Nothobranchius furzeri: one gene and its partner. The protein of the gene in region 2 purifies or fractionates together with the protein of the main gene of each other region. This does not show direct contact. Links are inferred from orthologs where the notes say so. Each region holds a gene or a part of one and is shown on either strand. Other genes may lie near its edges. The genes, in order: cdk8 and mediator of RNA polymerase II transcription subunit 13-like.

Region 1 (4,375 bases), on a different chromosome or scaffold from region 2:
CCAGCAACGTTTTAACAGCTGAACCCTGAAACCAAAAATGCCACTGTTGCATTTTCTCCTCGCTTTTGATTTCAGGCCACTTTTCCGTCACAAATTTTTAAAAGTCACAACATATTGGGGCAAATTTGTCATAAAACACAAAATACGGCATCAAATAAAAGAGCTTTAGCTTCTTCTGATATAAATATTCTATATGATCATTATCTTACCAGTTCTGGGAAAATTGATGGAGGGAGTGATGTTTAAACAGATTCAACATTATTTTAGGGTGAATGGCATTTACACTGATGTTCAACATGCTTACAGAGAAGGATTTTCTACCAGTACGGCACAGACTACTCTTACTGATGAATGGTTGGGACAGATTGATAGGAAGCTGCTGGTGGGAGCAGTGCTTCTGGATTTTAGTGCTGCATTTGATATTGAGGATCATGACATTTAACTTTTGAAACTATCAGCGTATGGTTTTAACAAGACTGCTATCAATTTTATGAGTAGCTACTTGACTAATAGAAAACAATGTGTTATATTTAATGGTAGTCGGTCAAACACTGGCACTCTTTTGTGTGGGATTCCCCAAGGAAGTTGCTTGGGTCCTTTATTATACAGTATATTTGTAAATGATATGACTTTTGCATGCAGTGAAGCGCACATGACTCTATATGCGGATGATACGACCATATCTGTTTCAGCTTCAAGTTTAGTTCAGGTCAATGTTATGCTTCAACAGGAGTTAAAGTCTATCTCTGAGCGGGTAGAGGGAAATAAGCTAAAATTGAATGTATTAAAAACCAAGTGTATGCTATTAGGCTCTAGGAATTTGGTAAGAAAAACCCACCAGTTAGACATTTATTTATGGGGACAACAAACTGAACAAGCAAAAGAGACCAAACTACTGGGCATAACATTGGATCAATCAATGTCATGGACTACACATATTGATAATATTGTAAAGAGAATGAGTAGGAGCATTTATGTAATTAGGAGCAATGCTCAGTATATGTTACTGGAGACCAGAAAACTTGTTGTACAGTCTCTGGTTTTGTCTCATCTGGATTACTGTTCAGTTGTTTGGTCCAGTGCAGCAAAGACAGACCTTGACAAGCTTCAGAGAGCTCAGAACAGAGCTGCGAGGTTGGTTCTTGGTTGCCCTTTTAAAACTAATATCCACTGGATGTATTTTAATCTGTCATGGATGAGTGTAAATGACAGACCGGCCTGCAGCCTGGTTGTGTCGTTACACAAAATCTGGGTTTTACATAAACCTTTCAGCTTGTTTACAAAGTTGTTACCAACCTGTGAGCGGCATGGTTTTAACACAAGGAATGCCTCTCATTTATCTTTACTCTTCCATTGCCAAGAACCAATGCACTTAAAGGAACAGTCATTTACAGAGCAGTCACATGCTGGAATATCCTGCCTCCTGAACTAATAACAATAAATGTTCATGATGCGTTTAAAGTGAATCTCAAGAAATTTGTAAAACATAAGCTTATATCAGACAACAGTTACAGCTATTTCAATCAGATTAATAGATTTTAGATTTATAGAATTAACACCCTGACACTTTATTGTTTTATTGATTCATTGATCCATTTTTAAATTGACTTTTTAGTGCTTTTTTATGATTTTGTTTTATGAGGTTGATTATAGGAGTTTGTGTTTTTCTTACATTGTATATGAAATATTGTACTTTTAATCCTACACTGTCTATGTGATATTGTATGCATTTTCTTTTTGTTTCTTTTATCAAGTGGACCCCAGGAAGAATAGTTTTCACTATTGTGAAGACTAATGGGGATCCTTAAATAAACAAATATGAAATATTCTGTTTAATCCAGCACACAAGCCAAAAAAACGTGATTTTTTTTACTTTGCAGTAAAAACATTCATTGAACAAAACAGCTTAATTTTATACGGCGTGTAACATTTCTATTATCTCAAAAACATATGGCTTCCCAATAATAATAATACAGTATCAAATAATTAAAATAAACATTAACAGCAGCAATAATGAGAGCTACTTAAACTGAAGTTAATAGCATATATATTTAACAGATTTGTTATAATTTAAATAATTAAAAATAATCTCACTTTATGTTCTGCTACTGAATCATTTTGTTTTTAATTTTCAAGTATATTTGATCATCACTTTTATTAGTATTTCCACAAATAAACATTGTTTTGGCGCAAATGTTAATTTCTGCAGGAGTTTTCTCACTTGCATATGATAAAATTAGATATATTCAAACTCCATCTAATGAATATTCATTTGTAAAAATATATAAAAGACCGACACCAAAAACAGTATAAATATGCGCTACAGTCGTGTTGCAGAAATAAAGACATCCCATAATAAAGAGAAGACGGTGCTAAAGCTACAGAACAGGGCCTTTGTGCCAGAAAACGTGAGGAAGCGGTTTAAATGTGTTAATCTGAGGGAGGGAGGCTGACTGCTGAAGGCCTGCTGCACTTCAACTCACCCATCTTTTCTCTTCGCCTTATACACATGACCGTAAGTGCCTCTTCCCACTTTGCATCCTTCGTACTCAAACAGGTCCTCGACACGCTCTCGTTCTCCAGTTAGCTTCACTTTAAAATCATAGTCCATTTTCACCTCGGTTTGGGTAAATGTCTAAGCGCCGTCCTTATTCTTCTTCTTCTTTTAAAGCGTCGCTTGGGAGGCAGCTGGGCTCCTCCACCGAGCTCGGGTTGGTATTTCAGATAGTTGCCTTACCCAGCGTGGCTCTTTCCTCTTTCAACCCAGCTTACGTGTCGAGTTTTCGGGTCAAATTGAATGTTCCGAAGAGGGGTACGCGACGCTTGGAGGTAGTCCTAGTGGAAACTAGCTCAATTGTTTATTTCTTTCTGTTGTTGCTGCGTTTCCCCCCAGCCGGTATCTGCTCCAAAGAGACGTACATAGTCGGCAACGACAGCACTGTCGTAAAACGTCGTAAAGACGGTCCTGCAGCGGAGAAAAGAGGATGGAAACATGGGATAAGCAGACCCAACCACGTTGAAATACGTGTCTAGAACCTCATCAGTAACGCATTTACATTGTGAAAACAGCGTTTTTTTATTTTAGTGTCGTGTTACAGACAGGAAACCACCAAAAAGCGTTTTTATTGGTTAAAAAAGCCCTTCAATTAGATTTTGTAAATAAGAAACAAAATATCCATCTTTTAAATTTTAAGCAAATAAGAAAATTGGGCCTATTTAATTCAGTAAGTTGTCAATACCCAATAATTGATGGAAGTGTTTGACAATTTATAACAAACCCCCATTTATGACATCTTCAAGGGTTTATCCATATAAGTAGCGGTGAGTTGAAGAGGTAAAAAGTAATTTGTTGGAGGACAATTTTGTGGAGGGACATCTGTGTCCCTTTTGGATTTCTCTTTATCATGGATTCACAATGACAGTGCAACACTTGTATTTGTCTTCAATAAAAGCTAATTTCTATCTCTGTTAACTAATCACTGTGAATTTATGTTTTAACAACAGAAACATAGATGAAAAGATGCCATTCATTTTAAAGAGGTGATTAGATAAAATGAGTACAGAAGTTGGTCATAGTTAGTAGGAAAATTGCATTATCGGGAACTGGAAACAATAGAATTCTTACTATGAACTCATTTTACAATGCATTTGAATTTGCATTTGGCTCACAGTTTGGATCTTCTTTTATTTATTTGTTTGTTTATTTCTAGGATTTACTAACAAAAACTGTTTTAAAGGCTCTTTACTTTATCCAGAACTGTCAGCATTCTTTGACTAGCTCATTCATACATCGTCTCTTATCTTTTTGTGTGGAGAGAATAGCCGTGATAGTAAATAAATAGTGACAAATTAGCTACTCTTCTTAGATTTACGTTGATTAATGAAGATCATCTAGAAATTACACCCACTGGTGTTTCATGACCTACTCTTGGATCGTGATCTCAGTCATTTTTAGGAGGACCTGCTTATAACAAATGTTAAAGTAAAATGTACACAATTTCATTTTAAATACAGCATAAATTAATTATTTTTGATAATGTTGATCTGCCTTTCAAACTGGTTAAAAAACCAATAAACATCTCTTTGGACAGTATTGTTTTGTAGGAACTAAGAAAATGCGGTGCTTGTTTCAGACGGACGGTTTAATGCTTGTACCGCTGGTCCCATCTTGGGTTGTGAGAGGTGAGAGCTGAGCCAACCGTCCATATTATAACTGCCTTGTCAGGTATCTAAATCTTATAAATTTTAATGTCACGTCTCACGAGAGTATGATTTCTTTAACTTGTGTGTTTCGTGTGTGTTAACTGATCGATAAAATAATTCCCCATGGTAATGTGTTTCTTTTTTTTCTCGGAGCTAACACTGGGCATCGACT
Region 2 (4,622 bases):
GTGTGTGTATGTGAGTACAATGTGGTCGGTGTTTGAAGTTTGTCTCCCGAGTCTGCGTGGTTTACAGTGTGCTCAGTATAAACACACACACACACACACACAGAGGCTTCCTGTGTTGAGAGGCCTTTAACTGTCTCCTCCTTGCCTTTCATAATCAGGCAGGGAGTCACTGTTAAAGGAACCTACGCAGTCCACAGAAAGATGTCTGTCTTCCCTTCCCCTCTCTCATTACGCTCTCCCTCCTTAATTCCCCCTCCCCTCCTCCTCCGTGCTCTGGCTCACTCTTTCACTCTCAGTTTCTCTCAAATAGGCTGAGGCTTGCAGTCAGGAAATGTACATCAGTCATAATACGTTCCTAAAATGAAAACAGATTCTGCTGCAGTCCTTCTCTGCTGAAAAGCCTCACTCTGTTTCTCCTCTCATTCTGTGCCCTTTCCCCCCTCCTTCATCATGCCAGCTCTGCTTTTTTTGCACCCCCTACACACACACATGCACACACTCACACTTACAAGGGTCTAGTTTGCTTTCTGTCACAGATGGTTGGTCGCCAGCGCAGGAGACAGTTGTTTTGTGGGTACTGCGATTGCAGCCATCCCAAGTATCCGACGCTGGCCACGCAGAGTGCACGACAGTAATCTGCCATGTCCCTTTAAAGTCCCACAGTATGAGCACTTATGCTTTCTAATAAGCTGTTTTTGTTTGTGTGTTTTGCTGTTGTGAGTTGCAATAACAGTGAGCAAATGAGAGGAACAAGGTCCGTGCATGCTTGAATGCTGTTAAACAGGCTGTCAGAGGAGAGCGCTCAACAGCTAGCCTGAAGACCTTTATCTATAACAACACAACCTTTGTTACTCACAGGAAAAGGTTAGGAAATTTCCCACCATGGAGCCTGTCTTCTTATCATTTATTAAGCTCAAACCCAAGAAATTAGCCTATTAACATATGTCCCTATCAACTAATGGTTTGTTAGAATCCAAAATATTTCTATTCTGCGGCTCTTTTTAATTACTAACCCAAATAAAATGTCAAAACCATCAGCGTTTTTTTGTTTTTAATTTAAAAAACTGCCATAATGATGAGAATATAAAGATTGTAATGTCTCTAACAAGTGTCCATGATCTAACGAGGGAAATTATGTTACAAATGCAATTATCTTCTAGTTTTCTCCTAGTGAAAAGAGGAATTAGGAGCTAAACCATATCAAACCACATTAGAACAGCAAAGATGCCAATTAGCCATGTGCTCTGTGCTGTTTTATTAGTAGCCTTGAGAAGTTTTTCCTTGCAAACAGTCAACGTCGCATGGAAGTGCAGAGTCCGTCAGTCCAGAGCGCGTCTGTAGGACGTCAGACTATCTCTGCACTTAGGAACAGGACTGAAATGAGAATCGTAGTTTAAAAACTAAGGTGTGAGCTGCTTCTGTTTTAAATAAACTCACTTTTAACAGAAAATCCTCTTTAACCGTTGAACCCAGCCCTATTTCCACATCCAAATGCATTTTAAATGAGCACGTTAGTGTCTTTATCTCTGTTTCATTTTTACAGGAATTGTGTGTGTGTGTGTGTGTGTGTGTGTGTGTGTGTGTGTGTGTGTGTGTGTGTGTGTGTGTGTGTGTGTGTGTGTGTGTGTGTGTGTGTGTGTGTGTGTGTGTGTGTGTGTCATTGCTTATTTGGACTACCCTGCAGGAACCCTGCCAGTTAGACCGCCGAAGCACTTGCCAGTCATAAATATTCTCAACAAGCCAGCTGATGGATGGTCTCTTTCACCCTCAGTTTGAAAGGGATGTTCATGATGGCCAATAAAGCCTCGGTGAGTGAATGAAAGCTTTTTTCCACGAGGGAATAGCCTCAGATGAGATGGTGACAGAGACACAATCACTGTTTTCTGTTGTTGTCAAGCTGAGAAAATTTAAGATGTCTGATACCGGAGAGCATGTGTCAGTGCACGGGAAACCACACAAGATCTATTTCTTCTCGCTCGTTCACCTTGGAGACTAGAATGAAACATTCATAGGAGCTTTCTCAAGCCCCCTGTGCCACAATTTGTGGCGGCGATTGGCGTAACATGGTCCACAACCTGCAGGATCACCTGAAAAGCCCTCAGGACCCCTATGTTGTTGTGGTTCTCAGCAGCCCTGCTTGCCTGAGCTCAGTGCATGCCTTTCCACTTGGCTGCCTGTTGTGGTAAGACAGTTAACTCGCTGATTGCAGGAGGAAAACTGTGAAAACACACTGCTCTGCCTCCTTCAACCTCAAAAGCGATGAGTTGTGCAAAAATGACACCGCATGTAGTGTGAAAAACGTGTTTTTTTCTCTGATTCTGTGAAAGGGCTGCTTCCGTCGTGTGCCTTGTTGATGCAAATCTTTGTTTCTTTTCTTTAGACACGATTTTCCAGTTGGCAAAATGAAGCATGCATTGTTATCCTATTTCACAAACGCGTGGACATTTGGCAATAAATTATCTTCTTGTAGCTGCTAAACTAGAGCATTTGGGAAAAGATAAATATAAATAGCAGCTATTGTTGATCCGCAGGTTTAGTGGTAATAGTGGCTTTATTTTGGTCTCCCACACCACTAACCCATGTTAATGATTGTCTAATAACAACATCAGCAATTGGTTCACCTTTGTACAGCAGACACACATTTAAGCGTGCCTCCCATGGGTCTTATGACTTGTCTATAGCTGCTGAGCATGATTTATTCATACCGTACCAGAGAGAAGATGTTGGAATGGCAGTCCTCAAGGCTTGCCCCGTTAGCCACCCAATTCGCCGTTGCAGTCATAATCGTCCGCCTTTGGGGTCGCCAGCGCAGGGCATGTCGAAATCCTACATCGGTATCTCAACACCGAGCAGGGGTGACAGATGGGTTCCCTTAAGAGTCAGGCTTCAAGATAAAAGACTCGGGAATGGGCGTATTCAGAGAGATGTGTACAGCGATGCATCCATTAAATCCAATTTTTTTTCTTCAAAAATACATATAAGATAATAAATGTTGATAAATCCGAGCGCGTGAGTGTGATGAGAGGGGATCACAACATTGGTCCAATCCAGGTCATTCCAAATCTGATCAACAAAACAGTATCCATTTCAATCCACACACACACACATAAACACACACAAGGAATGTGATCAGTTTCCAAATAATCCAAAAGGCAAAAATCCACAAATCCTCAAAAAATGGGGGTGAAATAAGCGTCAAAGTTGGAAACGATGGTTATTTCACGCAGGAAACGTGATTCCGTGTGCTCCACAAAGCTGATGCACCATTTGTGATAGTTTTCGAGCGCTATTTATAGCCGCCTTTCTTGCCACAACCGCTCCTCTCTCACACAATGTAAGCCAGTCTGGCTCACACAAACAGGCGCTGCTGCTGCATGCGAGCAGGAATATTTAATCCCTCTGTTGCTCCTGAATCAAACGCGCCGCAGACGATCCGCTAAAAAAGAAACACAACCTTCCCCCCTTCCTCCGCCTCCTCCTCCTTCCTCACGCTGCTCCCCTCCGTGGACAAAAAAATGAAACTCGAGCGGGTTTCCAGCAATAAATAACCCCGAATCATGAGTCAAAGGCAAGACGAAAAAAGTCTAACACTCCACCGAGCAGGAAAACGACAAAACAGGCTGTAGATGGAGGTTTGAAAAAATCCTTCCTTCCTTTCAGCTTACGAAACCTCCTCTCTCACGGCCACAAAAGCCTCAGTGTTGCAGAAAAAAATATCAGACAGGTTTTCTGGGTTTTTTCTTCCCCTTCAAGCAAAAGTGACCGTCCTCGTCTGGCGCCGATCCCAACACAAGGCGAATGTTGCATTCTGCAGACTGCTTCGGCCGAATCGCGTGCTCCTGCCTCTCGAGAAGCGGTCGGGTCGTTGTTGGTTTAAATCCTCCAGCATGTGCATGATTTCCTCAACCGCAGCGACTCCTTCCTCATTGTTTATCTGTCAGACAAGAGTGCGTTATTACACGGCTAGATGGGCGTGCGCGCAGCCTGGATGTGCCACCCTCAGTGTGAATCGGTGTGAATGCGTGTGTGTGTGTGTGTGTGTGTGTGTGTGTGTGTGTGTGTGTGTGTGTGTTTTACGCGAAGCGCTGAAGCCTCTTTTTTTTTTCCTTTTTGCGCACGATCGTCCAGCCCACCACGCATTGTAATGTAATGGCGGTCGGAAGCGCTCAACAGAGACTAGCCTTTCTGTTTGGCCAAGTTTGTTCTCACATGACCAAAGTGTGGGATTACATGTCTCTGATGTGAGGCTGGAGGGGAGGACACGGTGGAGACACTGTCCCCAACTTCCCAAATGTGTCCCTGATGTGTTTGTGGAGAACATTTTTTGTTTGTTTGTTTGTTTTCTATGACAAGATGGTGTCACTCTGATGATTACATAATGTAACTGTTCTCACAAACAGAGGGTGTGACAATAGAGGTCAGCCTGATTTACTGAGCTAATTCTGGGTTTCATAAGAGAGTCTAATCCATGTAGGTTAGCGCCACAAGAAAACGTAAAACATTAAATAAAAACACAGAAATAAAAAGTGTTTATTAAAATACCTTGCTATGTTTATTAATAAAGCACGTTTCAAAACAGCATGACAGCTGACCACAGAGCTGTACAGTATTAAAAAACTAAA

What was found.
Region 1: the proteins of mediator of RNA polymerase II transcription subunit 13-like (region 2) and cdk8 purify together in Homo sapiens (affinity purification with mass spectrometry; 6 studies listed by BioGRID and IntAct, counting the BioPlex papers as one, with this or other methods). This does not show direct contact. The link is inferred for Nothobranchius furzeri from reciprocal best matches to the Homo sapiens genes MED13L and CDK8.

What each region holds. Positions count from the first base shown.
Region 1 is NC_091747.1:51,006,637-51,011,011, reverse strand, and holds the start of cdk8 (cyclin-dependent kinase 8), read right to left. Parts: upstream 2,814-4,375; 5' UTR 2,612-2,813; coding exon 2,484-2,611; intron 1-2,483. Other genes in the region: E3 ubiquitin-protein ligase RNF6, read left to right, coding at 4,146-4,182.
Region 2 is NC_091746.1:54,299,286-54,303,907, forward strand, and holds the start of mediator of RNA polymerase II transcription subunit 13-like, read right to left. Parts: upstream 2,976-4,622; 5' UTR 2,783-2,975; coding exon 2,711-2,782; intron 1-2,710. UniProt on the Homo sapiens protein: Component of the Mediator complex, a coactivator involved in the regulated transcription of nearly all RNA polymerase II-dependent genes.